4 linked regions of the Struthio camelus genome follow. Each later gene encodes a partner of the first gene's protein in a complex. Links are inferred from orthologs where the notes say so. Each region holds a gene or a part of one and is shown in the gene's direction. Other genes may lie near its edges. The genes, in order: EIF3J, EIF3M, EIF3D and EIF3I.

What was found.
Region 2: EIF3J (region 1) and EIF3M share a complex: the UniProt entries of both Homo sapiens proteins name them as parts of the eukaryotic translation initiation factor 3 (eIF-3) complex. The link is inferred for Struthio camelus from reciprocal best matches to the Homo sapiens genes EIF3J and EIF3M.
Region 3: EIF3J (region 1) and EIF3D share a complex: the UniProt entries of both Homo sapiens proteins name them as parts of the eukaryotic translation initiation factor 3 (eIF-3) complex. The link is inferred for Struthio camelus from reciprocal best matches to the Homo sapiens genes EIF3J and EIF3D.
Region 4: EIF3J (region 1) and EIF3I share a complex: the UniProt entries of both Homo sapiens proteins name them as parts of the eukaryotic translation initiation factor 3 (eIF-3) complex. The link is inferred for Struthio camelus from reciprocal best matches to the Homo sapiens genes EIF3J and EIF3I.

Annotation. Positions count from the first base shown.
Region 1 is NC_090953.1:1,192,647-1,200,477, forward strand, and holds the start of EIF3J (eukaryotic translation initiation factor 3 subunit J), read left to right. Parts: upstream 1-4,826; 5' UTR 4,827-4,918; coding exon 4,919-4,943; intron 4,944-5,049; coding exon 5,050-5,150; intron 5,151-7,831. UniProt on the Homo sapiens protein: Component of the eukaryotic translation initiation factor 3 (eIF-3) complex, which is required for several steps in the initiation of protein synthesis.
Region 2 is NC_090946.1:27,112,770-27,119,959, reverse strand, and holds the start of EIF3M (eukaryotic translation initiation factor 3 subunit M), read left to right. Parts: upstream 1-4,172; 5' UTR 4,173-4,285; coding exon 4,286-4,327; intron 4,328-5,921; coding exon 5,922-6,054; intron 6,055-6,975; coding exon 6,976-7,114; intron 7,115-7,190. UniProt on the Homo sapiens protein: Component of the eukaryotic translation initiation factor 3 (eIF-3) complex, which is required for several steps in the initiation of protein synthesis.
Region 3 is NC_090942.1:59,344,214-59,351,274, forward strand, and holds the start of EIF3D (eukaryotic translation initiation factor 3 subunit D), read left to right. Parts: upstream 1-4,052; 5' UTR 4,053-4,538; intron 4,539-4,933; 5' UTR 4,934-4,942; coding exon 4,943-5,065; intron 5,066-5,406; coding exon 5,407-5,452; intron 5,453-5,842; coding exon 5,843-5,979; intron 5,980-6,071; coding exon 6,072-6,157; intron 6,158-6,655; coding exon 6,656-6,728; intron 6,729-6,859; coding exon 6,860-6,975; intron 6,976-7,061. UniProt on the Homo sapiens protein: mRNA cap-binding component of the eukaryotic translation initiation factor 3 (eIF-3) complex, a complex required for several steps in the initiation of protein synthesis of a specialized repertoire of mRNAs.
Region 4 is NC_090964.1:8,572,820-8,579,905, forward strand, and holds the start of EIF3I (eukaryotic translation initiation factor 3 subunit I), read left to right. Parts: upstream 1-4,166; 5' UTR 4,167-4,184; coding exon 4,185-4,187; intron 4,188-4,376; coding exon 4,377-4,469; intron 4,470-4,641; coding exon 4,642-4,729; intron 4,730-5,150; coding exon 5,151-5,216; intron 5,217-5,580; coding exon 5,581-5,730; intron 5,731-5,828; coding exon 5,829-5,956; intron 5,957-6,243; coding exon 6,244-6,354; intron 6,355-6,848; coding exon 6,849-6,938; intron 6,939-7,086. Other genes in the region: DCDC2B (doublecortin domain-containing protein 2B), read left to right, coding at 296-373; TMEM234 (transmembrane protein 234), read right to left, coding at 1,607-1,668, 1,799-1,891, 2,134-2,200, 2,657-2,959. UniProt on the Homo sapiens protein: Component of the eukaryotic translation initiation factor 3 (eIF-3) complex, which is required for several steps in the initiation of protein synthesis.

The DNA of each region.
Region 1 (7,831 bases):
AATTGACGTACTTGGAGAGCTATTTATAAAGACTTACGTTACTGGAAAAGAGCAGGAGTACTTTGAACAGAGATCCTCTAGCATGCACACTTTTGAGATGGAACGTTTTGAGGCTGGGTTGAATCGAGTGATACGACATTTGCATCAGTAGGTTTGGGAACAATGGTAGAGGTTTCAGGAAACTGCTTAGACGAGGCTGAAACAATCAGAATAATTTTGGTGCTTTTTTGTCTTATTTCAATCAAGATTTGTGGAAGCAATGGGACTGGAAGAGAGGCGCACACCCGACGGTCTGACCATGCGACCGCAATGAACCTAAGAGAAAGACCTCAGGCGCTAAAATATTTGAGACAAGAAGTGACGTTTATTCCTGATGTGGACAACGCAAATCTACTTGAGTGGCTCCCGTTCACAGACTACTTTGAGGATACCAATGCAGATCTCCCACTCAGGATTTGGAGACAAGAACCTGCACAGCTCATCTGATAATAAATTCAAGGTCTGCATTGGTGAACTGCTGAGAGATGAGTACTGTTTTCTATGTGTCAGTCCCAGTATGGAATTGCTTCCTGATAGAGGAGGAAGAATTTTACACCCCCTTCCTGATGATAGAGGACATGGTAGTATGGCAGTTCAGTATGATCCATCATTACTTGGACATGCAGACATCATATATGAGATTGGAACATCTTCTAACAGCCTTTGAGCTCTAGCATCTTGAAGTGGAACTGCTGACTTTTGGAAATACGCTTCTAAAGTCAGTTGCGAGAAAAAGGGTCAGAGAAGAAAAGATGCGTTTCCTTGCAGATCTTCGGCATCTGAAAACTAAAACAGAAAGCAGATCACCCCCTGAAACAGGTGGTTTGGCTTAACTGAAAAAAGTACCTAGCAGAAGGGTACGCTGTTTGTGAGTATAGCTCACACAGGAAATAATGAAGGAGGTGCTTGGCATGGCATGTCATAAAATGCAAGAGTTCGTGCAGCTTGAGAGAGACAAGTACTGATTTACATTAATGGTTGGCCTGGAGCTCAATTATAAAATCAAGTTAAAACAATGTCAGAAGCAATGTCACTGCTAGTGCCAAGAGTTGCTCAGATGTATGCTATGGCCTATAATGGCAGCAGGATCTACTTTTAGAACGCTCATTCTGAAACCAAAAGTTGGTCTTTATTAGCAACTAAAAAGCGTGCACCATGTATATCCTCTTATCAACCAGTGGGCTGGAGATAAGGAAAGACACCCAAATATATGCCTGAATTGCTGGTGACCCTTTGAAGCTATGGAGAAAAAGAGGGACCGTGAGTTAGTAAAGATCCCTCATCACAGGAATTTTATCAGTGGCTTCGCATTACTACTATCTGAAAATATGCAGCATGACGACAGTCACAGACTGTTTCCCAGAGAACAATGCAATAGTAACGTTGGCTAGTGTCACCATTCTAAATTTGAAAATTTAGAGCTTTAATTTCCTTAGATTTTGAATGGGTCACCAATGTCTCCTCTTCTTCAGCATCAGAAAGTTGTTGCTGTAAAAACTCTTCTCCAAGAAGCATCAGAATTGGTTCAGTAAACTCCCCGTGAGAAATCTGATCAGATTCTCATGTCCCTATGACATCACAGAGTTGGGAGGCGGTGATGAAGTAAACTGGATGAAGTTAATCAATGTTTCCAACATTTATGCATTTGACAAGGTAGAAGGAAACAGACCAGTGTAACTGGTAGAGGCTAGGCTGGATCTGGTTGTAGCTCCCAGGCATATCAGCGAGTTTGATGTTTAATCCTCAGACAAAACAGTTCTCCACTTCTAACCTATTCCATCAGGAACATCCAAACAACATGAAGCATCAAACGTCAGGTCTTGAACAGACGTCTGCTTACCTCTGGCTAAATCAGAGCTCTGGAGCCGTGACAGTCGCTCTCTCTGTCTTGCGTGCAGAACAATCTAAAGGGACAACACAGGCCTCAGAGCATTTCAAAATAAAATATTCCCTGGTAGCAGTGGGGAAGAAGTTGGAGAAGAAGTTGGAGAAGAGTGACAGCTTGAAACCGTAAGAGGCAAACAGTCCCTTTATAATCTGCAGCAAGGTGAAGGTGTAAACCCACTTCTCTAGAAAGTTCAAGCACTTAAAATACTTATCCTGGAATCTGTGGGATGTAGCAGTTTTTGCGGCATCCAGGGGGGACTGGAAGAAGCGCAGAGAGAGTTTTCACTTCTATGGATCTACTGTTTAAAATGAATCCTCCAGCCAGTGGGATAGCAAGAGAATGACTTTCCAATGACAGCTGGCTCTAGAAATTAAAAAATGCAGAATTCATTTGCTATTTGGTGTGGGAAAATCACGGCTACAACTGCGTGTGCAGCGTGACTTCACTGGACTAACTGCAGCGGAACTAAAGGCCCCTGTACAGCAGAAGTAAGGCAGCTTGGATATCTGTGGATTTGTGTCCTGTGGTTGACTGACAGCTCAGGCTACAGCCCTTCCTTCCACTGAGTCTGTCTTCCATCTGATACCTATTTTATATTTGTAGACACTGAATTCCTGTAAGGGACCTTTAGACCTCTGCTCAATTTGGTTAAAGCCAGCTGGTGAGTTCAAAGTTTTTAAGTAAAGGACAACTATAGTGATTGCAAGGCCACGATCCCCCCTGGGAACTGAGCTAAAAACCCCACCTTAAAGAGAAGGAATTATGCAGATAAATTGTGAAAGCATAATCTGGTTGCTAGACTATCTCTACAGCTTTACTGCAATCCTACGCCCATGTTTATTTGTGGTTTGATCACGAACCTGAAAGCTGGGAACTGACTAAATCATAACCTACCTTTACTATAAATTTATACTATTATTAAGGGGATTAGGAAATAGTTTATGGCACCAGTCTGAAACAACTTTTGAAAGTATTTTCTCTTTTCTTCTCTCCCATTCTGTTTTAAAGAACTCCCTCTCATTCCCTGAACTGAAAATAGCTGAGGGCTGAGTAGTATTCAGGTGGACGTAAGCCGTGCTAGATGAATCTAGAGCATTTCTCATTAGTAAAACTTAATTATTTCTGAATAGGATTGCCTACTTAGAGCCTGTGACTTAAGTTGTTTTTGTTCTGCCTGTTCTGTCTGTATTTATGAGTTAGGAATAGGAAGAATAGAAAGTCATTCAAATCCTGTGAATAACTGTTCTTGGCTCCGTTAAGGGTAGGAAACAGATATGCAGTTATTAGCCATATTTGTTCAGATCCAGTGGAGCTTTCATTTATAATCATTGCAAGGCATCCTAAAAGAGAAATATCTAAGATGTGCAGGAAGTTATGTAATTTCTGTTGGACTGCTTCCCGAGAAACCTTAAAAAGTTCCCTAGTACTGATACCAGAATACTCTGTATTGGTGTGTCAATACCGGACAATATATGATGCTCCAAAAAACTGTGTCCTGAAATATAGCATGTAAAGGTCTCTTCTTAGTCTTGGGATCACAGCATTATATACATTTATTGTCTGATAAGGGGCATAACGTTTGAGTCATGGAAATTTTTGTACTGAGAAAGCCTATCAGAAAACAGAGATTCCATTGCTGAAGGAAATGTTATTATCAAAAGCCTACGAATAATGTATTAATTATCTGCAGCTATTTAAATTAAATTATTGAACTATAGTTTGCGAGCATGAGATAAACTATATAATCCACAACAGCACAAGCTGACTGAATTGAAACTGAATTAGGTTTTTTGTAGCATTCCCCCCCCCCCGCCCAGTCCTATATATTCTATTTCTAGTGTTTCTTTCTTATTTTTAAGAATCAATCCATACAAACCTAATAAAAATATGCCTGATTGGGACATAATTTTTTTTCCCTTCATAAAGGGGCCTATCGACAGTATCGGAGGATATTTTTTACTACAAAGCTGTAGTAAACGAGAGGTAATCGCTGCAACGTCAGGTGGCAAAGCTTACCGTGCATGAGGCTAGTTCCTAGAAGCTTACGGTTTTCTGCTGTATTTTTTATGTCGTTAGCATATTTATGTTTTAGCTCTGCCATCTGCAGAGGGCGTGAGGAATTATCTCAGGCTCAGTCACAAGCCTCATCTTTACCAGGGAAAAAGATAGTTTTCGGGCACGGGGCGGCCTGCGCCGAGTCCCAGGCTCTCCGCAGGATCATCCTCGTACGGACGGGTTCCGTAGGTACAAAACGGTACTATTTTAACCTTACCAGGGTATTAAAAGGAGTAGGACGCACCAAAAGTGGGCCCGGTTATATCCATAGGAAAGTTCTTAAACAGCTTATTCCCTGTCCTCTACAGGGCAATACACCACGACAGCAGTACGTTTGACAGTAACGTTTTCTGTGCCTCCCACCTGGAACAGCAATCCCAGCCTTCTTTTCCTAGTGGGGACGTGTTCAAACACAGCAACCGGGAAACCCCTTCTTCCTGAGGGCAGCGTTTAAGGGCGCGCACTGCTCCTGGCAAATCTCTACCGTACGGGGCAGGCTCCTTTCGCTCTGCAGGTGTTTTATGACAACGCTACAAAACACTCGCAGCCCCCTCAGCCCGGCACCGACATGGCGGCCCCGCGGCCCCCTCAGCCCGGCACCGACATGGCGGCCCCCGCACCCCCTCGGCCCCCTCAGCCCGGCACCGACATGGCGGCCCCCGCACCCCCTCGGCCCCCTCAGCCCGGCACCGACATGGCGGCCCCACCCCGCCTCAGCCCGGCACCGACATGGCGGCCTCGCCTCAGCCCGCCCCGCCCCGCCCCGCCCCGCCCCTAGGGGGCGGTGCTTGTGGGGGAGGCGGGAGCGCGGGCTGGCCGGCGGGGCGGGGCCCTGTCAGTCCGCCGCCATCCCGGCGTGCCCCGCGCGCGGCGCTGGCCGCTCTCGGCGCGGCTGACTCACCGTGCTTCGCTGTGGGCGCTGCTCCGCGGGGCAAGATGGCGGCGGAGACGGATTCGTGGGGTAGGTGGTGGTGGTGGTGGTGGTGGCGGCGGCCGTGCCCGGCGCCCCGCGGGAGCCCTGGCTACCGCCTTGCCCCGCCGCTCACCCGCTCTCCTCTCCTCCACAGACGCGGACAGCTTCGAGGTGGTGGAGCCGGTGGCGAAGCGGCTGGTGCCGGGGGTGGCCGGGGACCGCTGGGCCGGCGAGGATGAGGAGGACGACGTGAAGGTGCGGCCGGGGCCCGGGCCGGGGCCTGTTCCCGCCGGGGCCGGGCTGGGCCCACTGGGGCGGGCGGGGGCCGAGACCGGGGCCGCCGCGGCCGCGCCGCTGCCATATGGTGCCGCGTGTGGCGGGCCCCGTGCTGCCGGCCGGGCCGGGCCGGTGGACGAGGGCGGCGGCGGCTCCTGCGGCGCTGCCGGGGCTTGAGGCGGGTTTTCCTCAGGAGCCGGGGGGGGGGTTGGTTGGGGGGTGAGAGCCACGAAATGGGTTTCTGAGGCCCCGGGCTCTGCCGCCTGCTGCGGAGATGACGAGTCGAGATGCCACATGGAAAAGACTGCGTTTCTGCTTTGTGCTTGTTTAATCCTCGCTTAGACTGGTTATTTTTCCTTAAGGTTCACTTGCTTTATATTGGATCTTCCAGGTGACAAAAGAGAAAGACACTTTTACTCTCCAGTTTTCTAGGGAATCCACCTGCTGCTTCTGAGCTGCTTGCCAGCAGCTTGGTGCTTTTCTGCAGCCAGCTGGTTTCTGCTTGCTTTCTGTAGACCTTCTCAAATGCTCTTTCAGATCCTTGGTTTTGAGTAGCATAGACTAGGTGAGGCGTTAAAAGTTGGATTTAATGGAAGCAGCGCTGTCTTAGTACTACTTCTATTGACCAGAAACTTCTGGGCTGCAGCAGCCTGTCCCTTCCTGCTCTCACTCCTCTTCCTACTTCTTCCCACCCCCCCCCCCCCCCCCAAGCCCCACCACAGTTGGAAAATAAAGCAGTCTACTATGCTCTTTCAGGTTTGGTAGTGTCCAGATCACTAAAAGATGTTTTGTTTACTTAAGGCTCTCTTCTTACTGTGTTTCAAAGTGTAATGTCTGCATGGAGTTTGTATTAAAATGTGTGAATGTTCATCTGTAATATTTATGAAAGCAGACCCTCTTTAAAAGCTTGTTGTCTTTTATTTAGCTCCAGCTGTCCCTTAGCAAGCCAGATTGACTGAGTGGTGGATGCCACAGAAATCTTAACTTGCTCAGCGTTCGTATAGACTGTAAGCAAAATGATGCCAGGGGACATAAAAGGAATGTGTTTGACTATTAGGAATCAAAATGGGTAAACTGAAAAACACTTCTCTGTTTCAAATCAAGGTGCTGAGGTGCTGCAATAGACAATCCTGTAGCTCACTAGGTGATGAGTACTATATTATGGTCAGAAGTATGAGGCTTTCTGAAATAGAGTATTGCTGCTTATTAGGCGAGGACTTGTTGGTTTTGTTATTTAGGCTGCTGCTTGTGTTACCAGAACCTCTGAAAAACGCCAACACGGTTGTCCTTGGAGCTTAGGGTGGGTATTCTTTTTTTCAATCAGTATGAAAAAAGTAGTTCATCTTGTCTTAACAACAACAACAAAAAAAACCCAAATATTTTTGTAAGTTATGGGCTGCCTATTTTTCACCTTAACTATAGGGTGTGGGGGTGTTATTACATTTATAGGTGTCAGTCACATTACACCAGGCAAAATGAGTAAAGGTATCTCTGTATACAGTGGCTACGGTAGTTTGTAAAGCTTGTGGTTAGAATGTGACTATACATGTATACTTATTTTTACATATCTGTGTACACACACATACATACGTGTCTGTATTTATTTATTTTTTGATTCCAATTGACTTAGCAAAGTTTGCTTTTCCTGATTCCTTTGAAAGTGAGAAACTTTTCATCTACAATATAATGTCTTAATGGAACTGGACTATAAGCTGTTATTCTTTTAAAGACGCCAGCTTTGTATGGCTACTCTGATAAAGGAACAAAGTTTTCCTACCAAAACATTCCTACCAGTAAGAAAGTTACTATTAAGGGATTAAGGCTTTAGTACTGGAGCTGCATTTAGAGACAAGGGCCCCTAGAGCAAATAAAGCTGTTTTATTTTACTTTGAGTTGCACTTACTGTATAGATGCTAAAGATCATGCAACTGAGCCTGTGAGATAATTGCTTAGATTGTAGATACCTTGTTTGTAACTGTCAGCCTCAGGAAAGTACCTGCATAAGAAAAATGACGTGGTCTAAAATACAAGCCCAAAGTATTTTCTGGCCAGTAGTTTGCCTTCAAGTTGGTATTTCACACTTCAGATTTTTTTTTCTTTTTTCTTTTTTTTTAATATATTCAGATTCTATAGTTTGTTATGGAGGTATTTTAATAAAGATAGTAACTGTTTTAAGTTTAGGAAACTTTGCCTTTCATGAGATTAAAATTAGCATCTTCGTAAGTGACAAAAGTTTCCCAGAAGACAGGCCTGCTGCCAAGGAATTTTCATCTATTTACTCTTGGGCAATCCTATACTTAACAAAGCCAAAACTAGGAAACGTGCTTCTTATCGTATAGGCAACAGCCTTTGACATGGTACAGTCCTTCCTCTTTGAAGGAGAACGCGAAATATTGACTGGGAATCTAAATAGTGGAGAACCTGTAATCTTCAAGTAATGTTCTCTGTTTTTCTGGAACACGCATCTTTGTACATTTAAAGGTACATGTGGTGGAGCATATGAAATTGTAATAGTTGCTTTCATCAAGGGTTTATTTGCATGAAATGGAAGATGTTTTTCAGTAACCTTATTTTAGTTAAGTATGTATAAATTAGTATCTTTGAAATGCTTCAAAGTTTTAAGTGGTGTTAGTGGATGTATTTTGGAATTAAGACGACCT
Region 2 (7,190 bases), on another chromosome or scaffold:
TGCATTAGTGATGAAAGAGTATGTCTGTAATTATGTTATTGACCAGTTTCCACAGAAAGCATTTATTCTTACCCAGTGTTTCAGAAGGCCAACTCAGCTTTCCTCTCCTCATCACTACAGATACAGAACTGCAAAAAAAAAAAAAAAAAAGCTGTAGAAGGAAAAATATGCCGTCACAGAATCTGTGTTTCTCTTCTATATTGAAGATCCTTTTTGTCCACTTTTTTTAATGAAAGAGGATCAGCTTCTAAAGTCCAACCCCAACAACTTTCATTTTCAAAAGCTGCAAAAAAACAAAAAAAAAGGTTACAGTGGGTGTCAGTCACAATCCCTCTTTTCCCTTCAGCAGCCAAGAATTAGCTTGCCACTGAACCTTTCTCTCTGTGCGTGTGTATATGCCCATACACATATACATACACAAAGTAGCTGTTTCGGAAATCAGTGACCTCCTTTGCGATCTCTCTCTGCCCCATCCCTGACATGCAGGTGGAGCAGGGCGGGGGTGCTGTTCCCACCCCACCCTGAAGACCTGCCTACTTCAGCGCCCTGGCTTGCCCTAGGCCCTGCCGCACTGGCAGGTGCCCTGTGCTCCACTGCAAGCCTGGCAGCTCCTGTAGGTATCTCTGGCTCTCTTGGCAGAGCTTGTACTCCATCTGCACAAGGTTTCTGAACTGGCTTCACTAATTGCAGACAGGATATAAACAATTGCCTTGTTTCTACAGGGATGTCATCATTCCAATAAAACTGACACACATTCTTCCACTACATCCTCTTTACATGGTAGTTTCACTGTCCCTTTTATATTCAGAATGGACTTCCTGATGTACAAGTTCAAATCCCAGCTACCATCTATCATCTTAACTCTTTTGGGACAAATAAAGTATCATGCAACATACCATATGTGGCTATTTCAGCAGAGCTCTTTAAAGTCATGTCCTGTCTACCCTGTGTGACCAATGCTTATTTTATTTTTATATATTTAGAATAATACATGGTAAAGCTCCAGGCCTGTGAGATTGGCAGCTTATAACCGGACACGATATCCTGGAACACAAACTGACACTAAACACATACTTGAGGTGCAAACACATAGTGCCTGAATTGTCTTCTAAAGATCTATGGCAAATCAAATGTATGATGTATCTCTATTCCTGCTATCCAGTGTGCTGGATGCCAAGTTGTCTTTTATCCTCATAGGATTGCATTAAGTAGTATTAGGTGAAAGTCATGTGCATTTCAGAAGTGCTAAGCACTCTCTCCTCTGAAAATCAGAACCCATTTCAGATTAGGCACACAAAGGAGATACGCATTTATAAATTTGAAAATTTTGATCAGTGATAGTCATTTTAAAGTATTTGGTATTATAATCAAACTATATATGTGTGTGTATATATATGTATATATACATCTACACATATACACACACATACTATATATAGTGTGTGTGTGTATATATAGTGTGTGTATATATATATAAAATTGTATATTAAAATATACTGTTTGAAAAACAACTTTGGCAAAGGTACCTTATTAGTTACAATGGCGTTACTATTTCAAAAATACACCAAAACTAGACTAAATTAATTAACCAGGATTTGGATGATAAAAACATTAAGAGTGGAACCATTATTCAAAAATAATACAAGCATGTATATGAAAAGTTATGTGAGTCATAAAGTTTAATGAAGGCAGTTTGGGCCTTTACCAGGTTCATTGTGTTGTAGAAATTTAGAAGTAGGCACTACCTCTGCTCTAACAAGCTTAAGTCAAGTTATTATTTGGTGAGGTAAAGGTTTGTAGGGAAAAAAAGGAAAAAAAAAGGGGGAGTGGGTGGGCTGTAGACAGCAGTCTTAGTAACTTAAGGAATAAAAAGCTTTTTTTAAAGCTACTTTTATCTCTGAAATATATGGTGAATACAACGCTAAGGTGATTATTTTATTAATAAAAAGTTGAAACTTATAATGGTTTCATTATCTTCTACATATCTTACGTAAAACCTGCATTAGAAGCATTTCCTAACGTATTTTGTGGGCTGGAACAAAAATAGGTTATGGACAGAATCACATAATGTGGGCTAGTTATCATCCAAATGTGTAAAACTCTCAGCTTTTTTTGCCAACGGATGCAAATGCTGGTCTGCAAGCTCACAATATTCCTCCAGATTTCGGATCGTGACTTTGACTCCTTCAAATAAGTAATCCCAAGGCACAATAAAGTTCATCTAGCATTTTGCAGGAGGGGTTGAACCTGCCCTCCCAGCCAGGGCGTTTGAATCCATCAAGATTCGTTTTACTAGGGAATGAAAAATTCTCATAGGGAACTTCTAGGATGACAAAAGTAGCACCTGCTCTTTTAAAAGCGTAGCAGCTTTCTGGAGTAGCATTCTTCAGTCTATACATCCCTAGAGTTCATCATCAATTGAGAGTTTTTCCTAATTACGTTACAACATATTAGCACAAGAGTTATAAATCTCTCTAAAAATGCAAAGGTGTCATTAATATTCAAAGAGTCTCCAAAGTTTCTAAATACAAATCACCGAGAACATCAAATGGTGATATTAAGGCCCCATTTTATTTGTGTTTCCACATTTATTACTAAAATTTCCTTTGTAAAATGGGGGCTAGATGAGTGGTTCACTGACAGCAAAGCAACAGCTCCTTTTGCTTAACAGTGGTAACACTGGGAAGGCACTCGATGGTATGATGAATAAATCAGTATACCTTTTTTCATACTGCAGATTATATATTTGAACTCTTGAAGCACAAAACACTATCTCCAGTCCCTGTAAACTGTATCTCATTTAGTTATTTTATATCAGGGACAACACTTTGCAAAACACTGTCAGGAAGATGTTTAACACATTCTAATGTAAACAATACAAAACATAGCGCTGTAGTACCAACCTCAAAATTCTCATTAAAAGAGTAATCATCTCAGCTCCCTTTCCCTGGCACTTCAGAATTCCATTACTGGTTGCTAGATTATATTTCTCCAGAGAAATATTTATCTTGAATTACTCAATGATTTCTAGAGTAATAAAAAGCTCTTTAATTACTTTCTAGCCAGTACTATTATGTAGCAACAATAAGCCATCCACAGACCCACCTTTCAAAACCCTCCAGATCTTATTGAATAAGTCTTTACAGACATTTAACCCAATTAGCTATTAATGTGTCTAAGTGTTTTCTAAATGTCTATATCCAGTGAATGCTTATCATAAACAACAGGGAAATGAAAGTTTCCCTGGCGTTTTCCCTCTATTTTCTTTCTGCCCTTTGTTTTAACCTTTGAAATATCAGGACAGTCAAGCCATGTCCCTCTTGTTCTGACAAGAGTGGCTGAATGGGAAATTTATTAATCTTTAACTGAAGAAACATGCAACATATTGGTATCAGCAAGTTATCTCTTACTTTTAATCAGACTATAAGCTAAGGTGATTTTAAGAACAAACTAAGCATCTGATTAGGAAGCCCATGTCCTTTCTCTTACCAGATTTCACTCCCAACATTATTTAAAGTCTTGCAGCAAGAAAAGGGCTAGGCAAGAACTTACACGTTTAACGAAAAAGTAGTAAAGAATCTAGGTTCAGAGAGAAAAAAAATTCTCTTTCTTTCCACATCGTACTAATCTTGGCATTCTGGGCACCTATTGCATACAGGCACAAATGTATGTCTGAATACCTTACTAAAGATGGCCAGCTACTCTTATCTGCCGCAGCGCGGCCAGCACTTGGGCCCTTTACCCGGCCCGCCTCGCCTAGGGGCGCACCGGCAGGCAGGACGGGGCCCGCTGCAGCCTGCCCCGGCCGGGGGAGCCGCTCCGGCAGCCGGACGACACCTGGGGCAGGCGCAGGTTTGGGGCCAGGCGGCTGCAGGCAGGGCACCCGCCCGCCTCAGGCGGCTAGCGCCGACCAGGGGCACCGACTCGACCGTCAGCTCCTCCGCCGGGTCCCGGGCGGCGGCCGCAGCTCGGGGCTGGGCACACAGAGCAGCCCCTCATCTTCGCCCATCGCCTCAGCGCCAACGCTCCCTGCTGCCGCCGCCATCGCCTCAGCGCCAACGGTCGCTGCCGCCACCGCCCAACGGCGCGGGGTGGGGGGAGGGGAGAGGGCGGGCGCGAGCGCCAGTGTGCTCCTCCCCCCGCCCCGCCCCGCCCCGCCCCGCCCCGCCCCGCCCCGCCCCGCCCCACAGACAGGAAGCGGAAGAACGTCAGAGCGGCACCGGAAGCCGGCCGGCCTTTCCGGTGCGGGCGGCGTGCTAGGGCGGCCGCGGGAGCCTGCGGAGCCATGAGCGTCCCGGCCTTTATCGACATCACGGAGGAGGATCAGGTCGGCGGCCCGGGCGCGGCGGGGAGGAGGAGGGCGCGCGGCCCGCGGTGGCAGACCGCCGGGCCGGGCCGGGCCGGGCCGGGGGTGTCGCCCGTTGGCCGGGACGGTGAGCTCTTGCCCGCCCCGCCCTCGGGGGCCTTGGCCCGGCCGGGGGCCACGGCCGCTGCCGGTCTGCGCGGTGGGCGAGGGGCGGCCCCCGGCGCCCGCCGTCCGGCACGGGGAAGCGGCAGCGGCTGCGCCCCGGGCGGTGGGCGGCGGGCGGCTGCGGCCGGGTGCGCTGGCCGGTCCTGCGGCCCTCGGTGGCGGCGCAGCGCTGCCTGCGAGGCTTCGCCGAAGGCGGTTGTGCTCGCGCCGCAGCCCGCGCGGCTCTTTGCAAAAGCGCTGGCAGCACGGGCTAGAGATCTGGGGGTGCGGGTTGAAGAAACTGAACGTGAAAGCAAACGCGTGTTCACAGTTTCGTCATTGAAGATTGCCTGTACCTCGCTAATGTTTTGTCTTCGTTCCTCCTCAACAGGGCCTTTCTGGGAAAAGAAAGCCGGTTCAGATACCGGCTAGAGTATTAGTTAGGTTTCTTGTTTCTCTGGGTTTCTTGATGTTTAAATTAGAGTCAGGGAAATAGTTTTGTCTTGGAGCTATTGCTTTGTTGTCTTTGAATTTTAGTATTTGTTCCTTATGTCTTTTGCATATGTAGTGTGAAAGCTAGCAGAAACACATGTCAGAAACACTGGTCTTCAGTCCAGTTCTTGCTTGCTCTGGTGTCTGGCAAATCCTCTTCAGGTAGCTAGTCTGAAACATCTTCAGGATAGGGATGGATTCTAGAGCATTTAGTTATGTCTTATGGTACTGTGTTGGTCTGACATGGAACTTGATGCAAATTACATCTTTCTTGTATCACCGTAGCATTTAGATCAGAATTTCTTATGCCAAAAGTTGTATGGCTTTACAAATCACGTAAATCAAACTTGATAAGATTGACTCTGAAGAGTTATGGTTCTGCTTCTGAAACCATGGATTGTAAAGTTAGTGTGTAGATCTGTCACTGTGGAAAAGATATCTTCTTACTGTTGGTTTAAATCGTAACAAGATAAAGCAGGTCATAAGATTGGAAACTGACCGTAACTTGTGTGAAGACTGAAAGTTCTGCCTTCTCTAAAGTAGTTATAGCCTTTGTCTCTTCTGTAGAATACACAACTACATGGTTTTATTATTTCAGCTTAAGTTGTCAAAGAGAGTAGAAGTCTTGAAGATAAGAATCCTTAAGAAGGAAACATCTTTGTCACAAAGACTTGTTACAGCTGCAATTCTCTGTCCAGCAGTTGTGACGCATGCACTGTGAAAAAACCCAAGTTATGTGATCTGTTCAGTCACTGGCCAATTAACTGTAGCACGTGGTGCCTCTTAGACTTAGATGATATTTAGGTGGTGTATTAAAATGGGGAAGAGGGAGCATTGTAGGATACAGTGTGGTAGGGGGAAATGGAGCTAATGTGGGTGAGGAGAGCAGGGGAAAGAGGAATAACCGCAGAAAGGAGTCCATAAGAAATTAATTTCTTTGACTTTGCTGTTCACTAGCCTTTTTTTTTTTTTTTTTAAGGCTGCAGAACTTCGAGCTTACCTGAAATCTAAAGGAGCTGAAATCTCTGAAGAGAACTCTGAAGGTGGACTGCATGTTGACTTAGCACAGATTATTGAAGCTTGTGATGTGTGCCTGAAGGAGGATGACAAAGGTTTGCACCTTTAAGTTGTGTCAGTTGTGCTAAACATATCACCACCCATCTATACTTTCAGATAACTAACTGTTCACAGAATTTAGAGGTACTTTTCATGGCTTGTGTGCGTTAAAAAGGCATGTCTCTTTAAGACTGGAAGAATGCATTTCCAGTAGTGCCATGTAAAATATGCCTGTACTCTGCCCTTGTTTTCTCCAGACATCCAGTGACCTTTGAAGAAGTCAGAAATAAAACTGGCTGTGCCCTCCATGAGGGTATAGCAAGTTGTATATAAAACAAGCTTCTTTTCTGGGAAAAAATATATATATATATATATATAATAAAATAAGACTTATGACCAATTAATGGCTGTGGTGCAGCAGATCAGATAGATAGCAATAAAAAATTAAAACTGTAGACCTCTGTAATGAGACGTTTTAGGACCTAAACATTAGTTGATTATATTGTTTGAAAACGTTAGAATTTTGGTGGTCCTAACTCCTTTCGGAGTTAGGACCATACGTCCTTAGAAACTACATTAATCTATTTTAATGATGCTGATGATACTGTGGTAGCCTTAACTGATCTTTCTCTGCCTCCTCTGTTCTGTGTCAGTATAAAGACCCATTTAAAACTTTTACATGTAAAACAAATAGCTCATAAGAATAACATACGTTGTTTGAAAGAATGCGGAGTTTGTCTAAGAATGAGCGTTTATGAATTTTTTTCTTTTACTTATTGTAAGCAAATCAGCATAAAATAATAGAAAACCTTATTGCTGTGTTGCGTGATGCTCAGTCATTATAAATATATGTATAATATATGTTTTGATAATACAAAATAAGCAGTCATAGCAGAAGTGATTCTTTAGTATTAAATAGTTACTGATGATGATTGTTGCTTGCAATTTTAAACAGCTGCATATTTTGTTTTGTGCAGATGTTGAGAGTGTAATGAACAGTGTAGTTTCTTTGCTTCTTATCCTGGAGCCTGACAAACAAGAAGCACTGATTGAAAGCCTGTGTGAGAAATTAGTAAAATTTCGGGAAGGAGAGCGCCCATCTCTTAGACTGCAGCTGTAAGTATTGTCTCTTGCACGCAGCGTACTTTGTCTTACTCTCCTTTTTGCCATAAATAAAATAGAAGTATCTGTA
Region 3 (7,061 bases), on another chromosome or scaffold:
CAGCAAATTCAAAGTCAGATTCACAGCACACACACAGGAAAGTTGTTCTACGGGCTGTTCTTCCAGGATTTCTAAAAATTCTATCAACCACAACTCTGAAAAAGCTGGCGAGCAACTGTCACTCAAGGAAGGCAGGCTTAGAGTTCAGCATCCAGGCAGCTTAGGAGAGGGGTGAAGAAGGAGCAAAAGGAGGCCACACTCAGCAGTGAAGGCATTTGGCCTGAGAGAACAGCAGATTGAGAAGGCAGTTAAAAGCGCAACTGGAAAGATGAGTTGCACAGAGGAATGCACACCAGGGAGGTAGGAGGGCTTCTCAGCCTGTGAACAGAGGGAGAGAGCAATTGAAACACAGCTTTTTCTGGAGGACAGTGATCCTTCTGGGCAGCTGAGCAGCCAGATAGTTGCTGGCCTGTGACAGGAGCCACTTTAGATGCAGTGAAGGTTGTTTGCAATGAGAACGCAGGAGCCAGCATTAAGTCTTGCCACTTTAAACAAGATGACTTTGGAAGAACAGTCTGAAGAGGTTTGTAAACATTAGTCTTCTCATCTCGGGGAAGGTGCTAAGGCTGAAGATTATTTTCTCTGGTTTCTGGGTTTGTCAAGAAGTACAGGGCACTGGGAACTAAACATATGGTACAGGCATACAGTGTGCTTGTTGTCTAGTTTAAAAAAAGAAACAATTGGCTATCTTTGATGCATTTGTTGTAAGAATTACAAAAGGAACTACTGGAAATTAGTGTTTCAATATGAACCTTAGTCTTCAAGTCCCCTCTTTGAGCAGAAGTCCTGCGCAGCAAATGGGAATCACAGTCACACAAGTTGGAAAGTAACCCCTATCCTAAGGCTTTCCAAGGTGTCTCCAGGTAGGGAAGAGGGTAGCTTTTTTTCTAGAAAAGAACCCTAATAGGTTGGGAGCTTTGAGTTGCTTTCCTTCATTTAAACCTGGCAAATTTCTTATGATACTGCCTGAGCTGCACGTTCTTCTTGCTCAGCAGGATGAGTCTGCTGTTCAGCACACAGCCAGCTCACAGAACAACAGCTTTTGAACGAGCCCTGAATTGCTGCAGGAGATGGAGGGAAAGCACTAGATTATGGCTGTGAAGCCTTTGGACTGGAACAGCCATGATGCTAGGACAAAGCCCGCTTTTATGGATTTGCTAACACCAGTTGCAGATCCCCAAAATAGAGAAATAGGAGACAAGGCTGCAAAACCAGATGGGAGCAATTTATCCTGGCTGTTCTCATGAGCATCTTCCAGGGAAAACTGATTAGCCTGATTAACTGTAATTAATTGATTAACTAGAATTGTAGATTAATGATCAAATGATTGCAAGAAAGCGTATTCTGAGCAACTCAGGGCTTCACTGGAAAACTCATGTGCCTGTCATAAAAGCCCTCAGCTAGATAGCAAATTATTGGCAGAAATGGTGCTTGGGGTTGGCAAGACAGGAACAGAGGGGTACATGCAACACTGGAGCCTCGACCACAGCATTGGACAGGAGATCAGAGGCGGCAGTGTATGGTGCTAAATAAAAAGTGAGGTAAAACTTACTCACTCCCCCCTCGTAAATCTGACCTAAATCTGGCAGAGAACATCACCCTCTTCAAGTCTGCAATAAGTTCTTAGAACTGAAATATTTTCCCCTGGATAAGAAACTGGTACTTTACACTGGAACATAAAGGAGTATTTATTCTGGACAGGACACTCCCTACGCATGCTCTGTCCTCTGAACCATGCCTCGTACCCAACTCTGTCCCCAGAGAAGGTATTTTGCTGGGCTAGGCCCAAACTGCAAATAACCTGTCAGCTTGGAAGACGAAAGCAGCATTACAGTCTCTTTTAAGAACCTCACACCGAGTTGGGAGCGAAAGGGAAGCTGAGGAAAGGAAGAGGAAGGGATTTAAATTATCAGTCCATTTGACATTGCTTCTCTTTATTCATTCCCTAATCCAGCTTTCTCTTTGGGATTTCCTGTTCCTTTTATCGCTGTCTCCCAAGCAGGACATGAACACAACAATGTTCAGATTGAATCTAATGTATCAAGCTGGATAAAGTGTATTTATCTGTTCCACATAGATAGATAATGAGGAAGTTAGTTATAGACTGGAATATAGCCAGAGCAGTCCCAAAGGTGCGTAAGGCCACCTCCCACAGCCAGAGCCCTCTGAGCCTACTCAGCCCGCCACCCGAGTTGGGGAGGGAAGGGAATGGGAGTTGGTGGGGCACTGCAGGAGTCACATTCTGGAGCTAGAATCCACTGCGCCACCACTGGAGAGCAGTGAGGCAATTCCAACACTCATTACATTTGTGCCCAGGAGGGCCATTTAGGTGGGACAGTTACAAATTGTATTTTATAAACTATATTTCTATAAGCGGATTTTTCACTAGCTAGGAAAATTGCTCTAATAATCCTACTCCTGATTAATGGGGAGGTATCCTGGCAAAGTAGAGACTGCTGCAGCTTCTGTGCTTTCTCAGGAAGTAACTAAAGGTGGTGAATTTGTAAATAATGGAGAAAATGCACACCCTTCTGAAGAGTATTGATCTAGACTTTTCTTGGGTTAAGGATACCCAGGAAAATTCTCCAGCCTATGAGCTGAAGATACCTGTAAGCTGGATCCTGGTCTTTTAGTGGTAGAGAAAATTTCAGTGATTTGAGTATCCAAGATTTACCAATGAGTTTTTGCTCTCACCATCTGAGAGGGGAAATAGATCCCAGTTATAGACAGGGATCTGAGGCATGTGTTATATTAAACGACTTATTCAGGGTCTCCTGAAGAGGCTATGGAGTTGAATGCGAAGTTGTAGCCCTACATTTCCTCTCTAGCAGGTCAAGGAAAGCCATCAGAGGCAATGCAAAACATCTAATATCATATTGTGAAGGCAACAGGGACAACTGCAATTAGCACTTTTCACACATCCTTACCCCTCAAAGTAAAGTATTTCGTAAAAATACTCTAAAACCCAAAGTCAGTTGTATGACCATACAACTGCAGTCAATACTACCTACTTCTCTACAAAAACATTGCAAAGTTTGCAATACATTTTTATTTCAAGAGGCTAACAAAAAATGCTTTGTCTGACAAAATTAAGAGGCACAGAATTAGATCGTGCTTCCTATCCTGATACACTGCCTTATTGATATACTTCTTGTCAGGAGCCCTGTAAGTCTGTTCTTTATCACAGACACAAATCTATCTGTGAAAATAGGAATTTACCTGTCAGACTTTACAGTAAGTCTTTTTCATGTCTGCAGAACAACCTGGCACAACTGGACAGGAGGGCACTGAAGCATAGCAGTAGAAATGTTTGTCAGTTACTAAGTTGAGGATCAGTATCCTTTCCTGTACATAATTTTAGGCAGAGTAATTTGTGCTCAACCTCCGTCAAAGAAAAGAAGTCTTCTTGATATGCAACAGTCACCTCTGATCATGAAGTCCAAGTATCCCTATGAGAGCAACAGATAAAAAAACCAAGGAACTCTGTGAAACAACCTGGGCCATCCCACTGCGGCCAGGCAGAGCCGTTATATCAAAATCATTCCCAACAGATGTTGGCTTAACAAAGGCTTAAATACCCCTATTCACGTTCAACAACGTTTCTAGAAGTTTAATCAACTTTACAGCGAGAAAAGATTTTTCTAACATCTCACTCAGATCTCCATTGTTTCAGTTTGAACTCATGTTTCTCCTCTGCTTTCAGGAGGCAGGGAAAACAATCTGTTTTCTTCCTCTTTGTGACAGCCAAGTACAACCCGAAAGGCTTTGTCTTGCCTCATCTCGGCCTTTTCCACTTAAAGCTGAACACAAGCTCTTCTGCGGATAAGGCAAGTTTATTATCGCGAATACCATTTTTTTTCCCCGTTAACCCCACGTACTGTTGGGCAGGTAATTAGGAGGGTGCGGGACTTCAGTAATCGCTACCGTTGTGACAAGAGGCACCATCAGAACAGGGAACAGGCTAACTCAGCCCCCACGCAAGCCACGGGTGACGCGGTTTGACGTTATCTGGGACCCCCCCCTCCCCTCCGCGCCCCCCCATTCATCCCAGCAGAGCCGGCACCCCCAGGGCAGCTCGCGGGGCTGCTGACAGAGGGCTCTGAGGCACTCCGCCAACTAAATCCTGCGTCATAGGCAGCAAGAAGAGGAAGAAAACTCCGGCAGCCACCGCAACCGCCGCTGCCGCGGCAACCGGCACCGCCGCGGCCTCAAGGCACACTGGGATATTGGAGGGAGCGCGGAACGTCATGGAGGCGCCCGCGGGCGCGCTGCAGCTTTTCTAGCCAGGCCGTCCGGCAGCTCTATGGTTTCGGCGTCATCCAGACGACATCTGAGCGGGAGGTGGGGCAGAGGTGCCCGTGCTTTACGGCAGCCCCGGGGCGGGAAGAGCGGAGCTCCTTGGCGGCTTTATTTATTTATTTATTTTACGACGGCGGCGCGCGGCGATGACGCGCTAAGGCCGGGCCGGAGCCGTGCGGGGCCCTTTCCTCGCCGCCGCCGCCGCTGTCGTCGTATCCGCCGCCATCGGGGCCGCGCAGGTGAGGAGCCGCCGGTGGCGCGGCCGGGGCCCGCCCGCTGCCGCACTGGGGCTGGGCCCGCGGGTATCGGGGCTCCCCCTCCACCCGCGGCCCCGCCTCTGCCCCCGGTTCCGGTGGGGCCGAGTTTCCCCATCCCCCGCCCTGCCCCCAGGAGCGTCGCCTCGCTTGCGGCCCCGCGCGGGGCCGGGAGGTCAAATAGGCCCGTCCTTCTCTTGAGGCACCGAGGCCTGGGCCGCGGTGTCCGCCGTGTCCGTAGCGCAGCCCTGGCCGCCCTGTCCCGCAGCAGCGGGTGTCGCGGTGCTTTGGCAGGGTTTGCCACTTGGCAACTGAGCTTTTCTGGTTGCTTTCCCCCCCCCCCCCTTTTTTTATTTTTACTTTTTTTTCCTCTCCTAAAGGTTTAAAAAATGGCCAAGTTTGTGACACCAGTGATCCAGGACAACCCCTCGGGCTGGGGCCCTTGTGCTGTGCCTGAGCAGTTCAGGGATATGCCATATCAGCCCTTCAGTAAAGGAGACCGCTTGGGAAAGGTATTAAAATCATGTCCTAATGTGGAGCTAGGGAAGGTGGCAGCCTTTGTGTTAACCTGCTGAATGAGCCCTATGTTCCTTCTTACATATCACCTGTGCATAGTAGTGGTGCTTTATTTTCAGAGCTTCTTTACTAATTACTATGACTGTTTTTGAAACATCCTTTGTAGTCCATCCTAATTAGCATAGTTGTGAACTATTAGCAAGATTGGCAAGCAGAGGTGGGAACTGAAAGGAGTGATTCTGGAGCATAGAGCCATATTTGCTTTTGCTGCTTGAAGTCCTGCATATGTAAAGTCAGAGTTGCTACTTGCTTATTTTGACTGTTTGTTTGTCCTTAGGTTGCAGACTGGACAGGAGCCACTTATCAGGATAAGAGATATACGAGTACGTGCTGTTTGGTGACTGCTCCTGTCATTTGTTTCATACAAGCTTACTTCAAATGTCATTCCTGCTTTCATGTTTCATACCGGCTCTAGTGGTTGCCTACGTTCCTCAGCAAGAGCTGCTTATATTCAGAAGTGTGCCTCACCCTTGGGAGAGCTCCATGGGGCTCTCCCCGTCCTTACGGTTTGCTTGTGGTTTTGTTCTACCTCGTGACTGGTGCTTTTCTTGGAGGTTTAGAGGCAGAGCAAACTGCAGTGGTATAAGGTAGACAGTCCCAGCTAATGCATCAGGCTTGAGGGAAGGCGTTTGGAGGGGATTGTTCCCCCCTCCTACTTCGCCAGTCTTCTTTTCCTAGAAGCTTGATAGCAAGATGCTTTGTTTTATTTTCAGACAAGTACTCTTCACAGTTTGGCGGAGGAAGTCAATATGCATATTTTCATGAGGAGGATGAGACTAGCTTCCAGTTGGTGGATACAGCACGGACGCAGAAAACCGCGTACCAAAGGAATCGTATGCGATTTGCACAGGTAACACCTGTTTTCCAAAACTCTGAGAGCTTGAGTGGTAGCAAATTATTTTATAACTAAAATGTCTTTCTCCCCCCCGCCCCTTTTCACAGAGGAACCTTCGGAGAGACAAGGACCGTCGGAACATGCTGCAGTTCAGTATGCAGACACTGCCAAAGAGTGCCAAGCAGAAGGAGAGGTGAGACCCTCATACGGGTATACTGTATTTGTATGAATTGTGTCAACAAAGTATTGATAAATTGGGTAAGATACTGTAGCAGAAACCACCAGAGCTAACAGTCACCAAAGAACAACTTGAGGATTTTTTTCAAGTCCATTGTTTTGCCCAAGTCACTTGTAGTTATAAGCATGGGTTTCAAACAGCTACTTAAGAATTTAGGAGAATTTCTAAATCCAGTTCAGAAAATAACCGTGGTAATTTAAAATGAAGTATACTCCTTTTGGAAGCTGCGTTGTAGTCTTCAAAGGTGAAAATATTTAAACAGCAGCTCGGAATAAAGAGCAGAGCTTGTAACGCTTCACACATCTTGATCAACAGACAGCTCAGTGAATGTTTCAGTGGCTTGGTGCCGAAAGGTATTGTTCCTTTGGTGCTAAATTGGAAGTGTAGGAGTGGTTGTGGCATCTAGGAATCAAGAACTTGTCGTGATGGCTTTTCACATGTTTGCCGTTGTAGAGATCGTTTGCGTCTACAGAAGAAGTTTCAGAAACAGTTTGGAGTGAGGCAGAAATGGGACCAAAAATCACAGGTAAACTAGCTTTCTGACCCCTGTGATTGTCTAGTTCTTTCTCTGCTCTCATGAGGCAATTTCTCTCTCACAAATCCTGATGTGTTGTGTCTCTCTCTCTCTCTTTATCTGTCTACTGTCTGGCCGCACAGCAGAAGCCTCGTGACTCCTCTGTTGAAGTTCGCAGTGACTGGGAGGTGAAAGAAGAGATGGACTTCCCTCGACTGATGAAGATGCGCTATCTGGAGGTGTCAGAGCCGCAGGACATGTGAGTTTCTAAAACAGCTGAGTGCTCGCTTCCTGAACTGACTGGGTTTTGGAAAGTAGCAGGGCAAGGGCCTCGTGGCCCATGCC
Region 4 (7,086 bases), on another chromosome or scaffold:
TTATTGGGGCATGGGGCGGCACTCCAATGCCATTGCCTTAACTTGGCCTTTCCTCCCCCATGAGATCACAGTGCTGTACAGGTGTTGTTATCTGAGTTTCACAGCTCTCTCCTGCAGTGGGAGAGAATCATTAGATTAAATTCAAAGGTGGCTTACTTAATGCCTAAAGACCTACGTTTGCATGCCAAAGCCACGGCAAGACTGGAAATGGAATCCAGAAATTTAGTCCCAGCAGCTGTCTGTAAGAGCAGAAAGTGCTACACTAATAACCGTATTTCTTTCTTAACACAAAAAGGTGTGGAGTACAGACAAATTGCAGAAGACCGTGGCAATGCAAAGGTATGCCAGCGACTCTGAGGATGAAAAGCACTGAAGGATGTCTTTCCTTAGCAGCAAGGAACTCTGAAGACTTCACAAAGGGACTGTGATGGGAGAAAGACAGCTAGGTAGCTTGCTATCTAGATAACAAAAGCACGTGATTCTCAGATACATGTAACAGCAAAGACTGGCCACAGTTTCTGATGTATTATCTTCTAAGATCGAACACCATAATTGTCTGTGCTTGAGAGGGAAACTACCAGTGAACTGGAATCTGATGCACAATTTTGTTAAATAATGTAGTACTCCTCCTTTCCTCATCTCTACAGTATGACGATTTGGCAGAGGAGACGGCCGGTTTTCTGAACTCCAATTAAGAAACTGGTTTGTATCTGAATGTGGGGAGGAAGAATTACCAAATAGCATTTACTCCTTTATAATAAAATATCTGCCAGAAAATTTGTTGTGTCAGGAACTTCTTTTAAAAATATTTCATAGCATCATTGTCCCTCTAATTTGGAGTGCTTGGATAATGTTTGCAGCAATCAAATCTGCTCCCAGATTTGGTAGATTTGTTTTCCTGAATTAGGCAGATGTTCTTAAAAGTCATAGTAATAAATGGCTATTGTCTCAACACTCTTTGTGCAAGACTTTCTGTATCCTTCCCTAGAGTTCATGATTAATTACAAGGGTAATGAAGATGTTCCTTCAGGGATCTGTTTAGTATTTTGGACTGATTTTTTCACTGAAAAGAAAGACGCTTCCTCTTGTAGCAGCAAACCGCACTATTATTATTTTACGGATCAAAGTCCAGTGGAGAAGAGCCATATGGTACACCTCTGGGCTGTGCAGCATGACCTGGATACAATGAAGGAAGCCACTTTCATAGGCATGAAAGAGGAGACTTTCTAACTGACTCCTTCTACAAAAAATCAGCTAGGTCATAATTAAGGCAAAGTCATTGTCAAAGGAGAGTCTCTGAAGGACTTTTAAACAATTTATTATGCTTCCAGTGCTAAACAAGACAATTCAGTCATCCCTGCCTTGAAATGCTCACAGAAAACATTCCTTAACCCAGGACATCACATAGGATGTCCTTGAAAAATGCCTTGTTCCGCCATGGCGCTAAGGGAATACAATCCATGTTTTTAGATGTGTGTGTCAAAAATGCAGCTTCCTAGATGCAACTGAGCCTAATGGTCTGCTGCTGAGCTGGAAGCTCCCCTCTTCACACATGGAGATTACCTTGGAATAGGTTTTCTTCCTGATGTATCTCACGGCGTCTTGTTTATGAACCAGCTACGCAGAGAGTGACTCCTAGGACAGTGATCAGCATTCCTGCCACAGCTCCTACAGAAATAAACAGTAACCACACCAAAACCACCACAGAGACCATGCTAAAACACAGTAGCCTACACTATCAAGTTAGCAAATACATGCAGGAAGCAATGTGACAAAACGTATTTCAAGTCTAACTTACTTTTACCACCAATATCCTCTCCCAGAATCTTCCCAGTCACCAGTGTGGCTATCAAAGCCAGAGAGTTACAGAGTGGTACTGCCAGGGACAGATCTGAAATCCAACAGTTTCAACACAGTTTAAGAATGAGTGGTCTTGTACAAATCACAGACACTAAGAATGTAAATGACTTTGCTGCTATTACAAGGCAGCTGCTTGATGTTTAGCTGGGCCACCAGACTAATGAATAGGACTTTCCTATTCATTAGGGAATAGGACATTCCTATTCCCTAGGAATAGGGAAGTTCCTCCCAAAATCCCAATCCACCCACTCCACAAAAGCAATGAGAACTAACCTGTGGATGCCAAGGTGAGATAGAAAAGGAGTGATCCACACTGATTGAGCAGAAATGGCACCATGTACTGCAGGGAGAACATGAGCTTGTCAGTCGCTGCACACACAACCACTGTGCACCCTGTGGAAGCAGCCCAGGAGCGGGCAGTGAAGGAACCCAGACCCCCTTGCTCTGAGACTTTTTTTAGCAGCGGAAACCCAGCATACTAGTGATTCCGCTGCCAGCAACAAGCTGTTTAATGTCTTGGTTTCCCTACCTGCAAAAGGCAGACAGTGATTACTTTATGCAAAATAAGAACCTTAATGACTTGCTGTCTACAAAGTGGTCTAAATTTTGCAAGGGGAGAGCAACGCTCTAGGCAAGTAAATGAAATATTATGGAGGATAAATAATTCTGATGAGAGCTGGACTATTTAACAGCTCAAATAAAAATAGCAAGTCTAGAAGTGAGTGGACAGAAATGACCCAAAAGGCAGTTTAACACCAGATACCTCCCTGGCCCAGGAGCCAGAGCGGGTTCACACCTTGTAGTTGAGGCCCAGGAAGCGGATTTCGGCGAGGAGCTGCCGCAGGCGGCCCTGGCCCCAGACCTGCTCCAGCCCTGCAGCACCCGTCCGCAGGAACGGCCCGGTGCTGCCCCACAGCACAGCCACCAGCACCAGCGCCGCTGCCTCTCCTGCAGCACAGCCGTGCCTTAGCAGCCTGCTGATCCCAGGGAGCACCAGGCCCGGCTTGCGGTCGTCCCCCAAGGCGGCCTGCACTGGGAACGTGCGGGGGCCACGACCCGCTCCGGGAAGCCCCACATCAGGTCTGGCCTGCAACTGCATTCCCCCCTCAGGGGAGGCTCAGCTGGGCCCGGCCCACTGGCAAGTCCCCTTCAGAAAAGGCCTCCCATCGGGCCCAAACTGCCACCACGTCCCCCCAGAGAAGGCCCCGCATTGAGCCCAGCCTCCCGCCATGTCCGCCCCCAGGAGAAGGCCCCGCATTGAGCCCGGCCCCCCGCCACGTCCCCCCCAGGAGAAGGCCCCGCATTGAGCCCGGCCCCCCGCCACGTCCCCCCCCAGAGAAGGCCCTGCATTGAGCCCAGCCTCCCGCCATGTCCCCCCCCAGAGAAGGCCCCGCATTGAGCCCGGCCTCCCGCCACGTCCCCCCCAGAGAAGGCCCCGCATTGAGCCCGGCCTCCCGCCACGTCCCCCCCAGGAGAAGACCCCGCATTGAGCCCGGCCTCCCGCCACGTCCCCCCCAGGGGAGGCCCCGCATTGAGCCCGGCCCCCCGCCACGTCCCCCCCAGGAGAAGGCCCCGCATTGAGCCCGGCCTCCCGCCACGTCCCCCCCAGGAGAAGGCCCCGCATTGAGCCCGGCCTCCCGCCACGTCCCCCCCAGGAGAAGACCCCGCATTGAGCCCGGCCCCCCACCACGTCCCCCCCAGAGAAGGCCCCGCATTGAGCCCGGCCTCCCGCCACGTCCCCCCCAGGAGAAGGCCCCGCATTGAGCCCGGCCTCCCGCCACGTCCCCCCCAGGAGAAGACCCCGCATTGAGCCCGGCCCCCCGCCACGTCCCCCCCCAGAGAAGGCCCCGCATTGAGCCCGGCCCCCCGCCACGTCCCCCCCAGGAGAAGGCCCCGCATTGAGCCCGGCCTCCCGCCACGTCCCCCCCAGGAGAAGGCCCCGCATTGAGCCCGGCCTCCCGCCATGTCCCCCCCCCAGAGAACGCCCCGCATTGAGCCCGGCCTCCCGCCACGTCCCCCCCAGAGAAGGCCCCGCATTGAGCCCGGCCTCCCGCCACGTCCCCCCCAGGGGAGGCCCCGCATTGAGCCCGGCCCCCCGCCCTGTCTCCCTGTCCCGCCCCCCGCCCCGAAGGCCCCACACCGGGCCCGGGTCCCCGTCTCTCCCAACCCCATATCGGCTCCCTAGCAACCGGCTGCCCCGGAAGCTCACCCGGCGCCGCCATCGCCCCGGCGAGGCACTTCCGCCCGGCGGCGGGCGGGGCGCTCTCCGTGACCCGGAAGCGGTCGGCGCGTCGCCTCCTCGCCATCCTGTCAGGGCCGCCGCCATGGTGAGCGGGGGGCCGCGAGTGGGAGTGGGAGTGGGAATGCGGGGCCTCGGCTGGGGCTCCTGACCCGGGGGGCGGGGGGGGGGCGGCCTGGCCCTGGGGCGGCCCAGGAGCCCCGACCGGAGCCGAGGCCTCGCCTCTCCTGCGGCGTTAAATGGCGCCCCCCACCCCCCCCTTCTCCCTCCCCCGCAGAAGCCGATCCTGCTGCAGGGCCACGAGCGCTCCATCACGCAGATCAAGTACAACCGCGAGGGAGACCTGCTCTTCACCGTGGCCAAGGACCCCGTGAGTGCGGCTTCCCCGTCACCCCCGGGGGGGACTGTCTTCCCTCCCCCGCCCGCGTGTGCGGTGACAAAAAGTCGCGATAATTGAGCAAAAAGGGGTCGGCTCTTCGCGGGCCTCGCTAGTCCCTCAAGGTAGTGTGTGAGGGGAGGGCTTGACTGTCGTCTTCTCCCAGATCGTCAACGTCTGGTATTCGGTCAACGGAGAGAGGCTTGGCACGTACAACGGCCACACGGGAGCTGTCTGGTGCGTGGACGCAGACTGTATCCTTTGGTTGCTCGAACCGGCTTGTCCTGGCGGTGATTTCCTCTCAGCTGTGCTCGCTGCTTCTGCTGACCAGGCCCTGGGAGTTCTGAGAGGGTGCCCGAGTTGCACAAGATCTTCTGTCTCTAATGCCAGCAGCAGATAACAGAGGTAGCAGCGTGCAAAGGTTATGTTACTCTGGGAACTGGAGCCTTTTTCTTTAATGCTTCAAGTAAAAAGTTTTGGGGTTTGCAGTAGGAGCACTTGGACTTGGTGTCTGTCCGTACTGAAGTACTGCCAGTCCTGGAATGGAAGTTGCTCAGTCTGCAATTTCTCTGTGTAGTAAGGCTTTTTTATCTTGTGAATAACCGCTAGCTGTGTATATAGACAGTAGCTTTTGGGGGCTGGGAACGTGTTGATATTCCCTAACTGATGATGCAGGGGACACACGGCATGTGCTCACTGGCTCTGCAGACAACAGCTGTCGGCTCTGGGACTGTGAAACAGGTAAGACCTTCTCCCCACGCTGTTGTTTTTGATTCTCAGTTCTGCCTTGCTGTGAAGTTTGCTTGGAGTGCATGGTGGCAGCGTAAGGTGTCTGTTTAACCCTCTGAAAGAGGTCTGAGTTCTGGCTCAAGACTGCTTGAGGAAAGGGTTTGCTTATGGTCCTGGTCTCTAATGAACATTTAGTTAAATTACTCACCTCACCGCCCAAGTCGTCAGTGCACGCTTAGTGCTTGCAGGTCACCGAACCTGCTCATCAGCCTGTCGGATGCTCTCACAGTTGCTCTAACCTTGTAGTTAAACTGAGCATTTTCATTAATCTTGCCATGAGAACCTGGTGAGGTGACCCTTTCTGCCCTGTGTTTAGGAAAGCAGCTTGCTTTGGTGAAGACCAGCTCAGCTGTGAGGACATGTGGCTTCGACTTTGGCGGAAACATCATCATGTTTTCCACAGACAAGCAGATGGGATATCAGTGTTTTGTGAGCTTCTTTGACCTTCGTGACTCCAGCCAGATTGGTGAGGAATCTGGGCAATGCCGGCATGAGGTACTGAGGGGAAGTGTTGATAGCTGGAGCTGGTGCCATTCTGTCTGTCTCCTTCCTTCCTTCCTGCAGAGAAAAATGAACCTTACATGAAAATCCCCTGCAGTGACTCTAAAATCACAAGTGCTGTGTGGGGCCCTCTAGGGGAATTCATCATTGCAGGACACGAGAGTGGAGAGCTGAACCAGTTCAGTGCCAAGGTCAGTGTGATAAGAAGCAGCGTCTCCTTTGGCATCTGTGCGTGGGGGAGGATACTGCAGTGTTCCTGTTGTGGTCACGGGGCAGAATATGGACTCTTGGCTCAAACTAGCAGACTTGTGGTTAAAATATATGATTTCCCTGAGCAAGGCTAACGTAGCAATGTCAGCCCTGCAGCTGACAGTGAGAGCTCCTCAATTGTTTTTAATGGAGAAGTCATATGTACAGGGGATCTTTCTCAGCTCGCTTCACTTGCTAGTACACTGAAACTGCCTTGTTTACGCTTCAGTCAGGGGAGCAGCTTTCAAACATCAAGGAGCACACTAAGCAAATCAATGATATTCAGACCTCCAGGGACATGACCATGTTCATCACTGCCTCCAAGGACAACACAGCCAAGGTGAGGCCTCCTATCGGTAACGCAGTGCACTCTTGACGCTTCCTTTCAGGACCCTGCTCAAAGACATGGCTATCTCAGAGGTTTACCACTTAGAAATTTGGGTAAGCGTAAAGTCAAAGCTCAGTGGGAAAGTTCAGCGAGCAAGGGGACACCCTGCCGTGTTAGATTAGCAGACAGACGTTGGAGACAATGTTGCAAAAACTGAGATTGCAGTTTGCTGCTTCCAGGAGGTGACAGAGGTGGGAGTTACCCTAGGCTGGTATTTTGGGATTCTGTGGAAGTATCTTGGGGATTTTAGGTGCACGTGAATGGCATTAGAGACAGGAGAGGTAACATCTGCTCAGGTGAAGACTGGCAGCCGGGGGCTGGGATTTGTATGAGTTAATTGCTGTACAATTGTTGCTGCTTGTGCAAAAAACACAGGGTCTGCTTGTCAGTTGATGATTCTCCCAGCCCTTTTTGCAGAATAACTTTCTCTCCCTTTTGCCTCCTAGCTATTTGATTGCACAACACTCGAGCATCTGAAGACATTCCGGACAGAGCGACCAGTGAACTCTGCAGCACTCTCCCCTATTTTTGATCATGTAAGAATGATCTTATTCATGTGGTAATGGTCTTACTGTGATCCCTGCATTGTCCTGGGTAGTGGGAGTAGGAGGGATGTGCATGTGTGTGTAGGAGAGTGCCTTGTGGTTGCTGGTGTGGGGATGTGAGGAGGATTATAGAAAATGA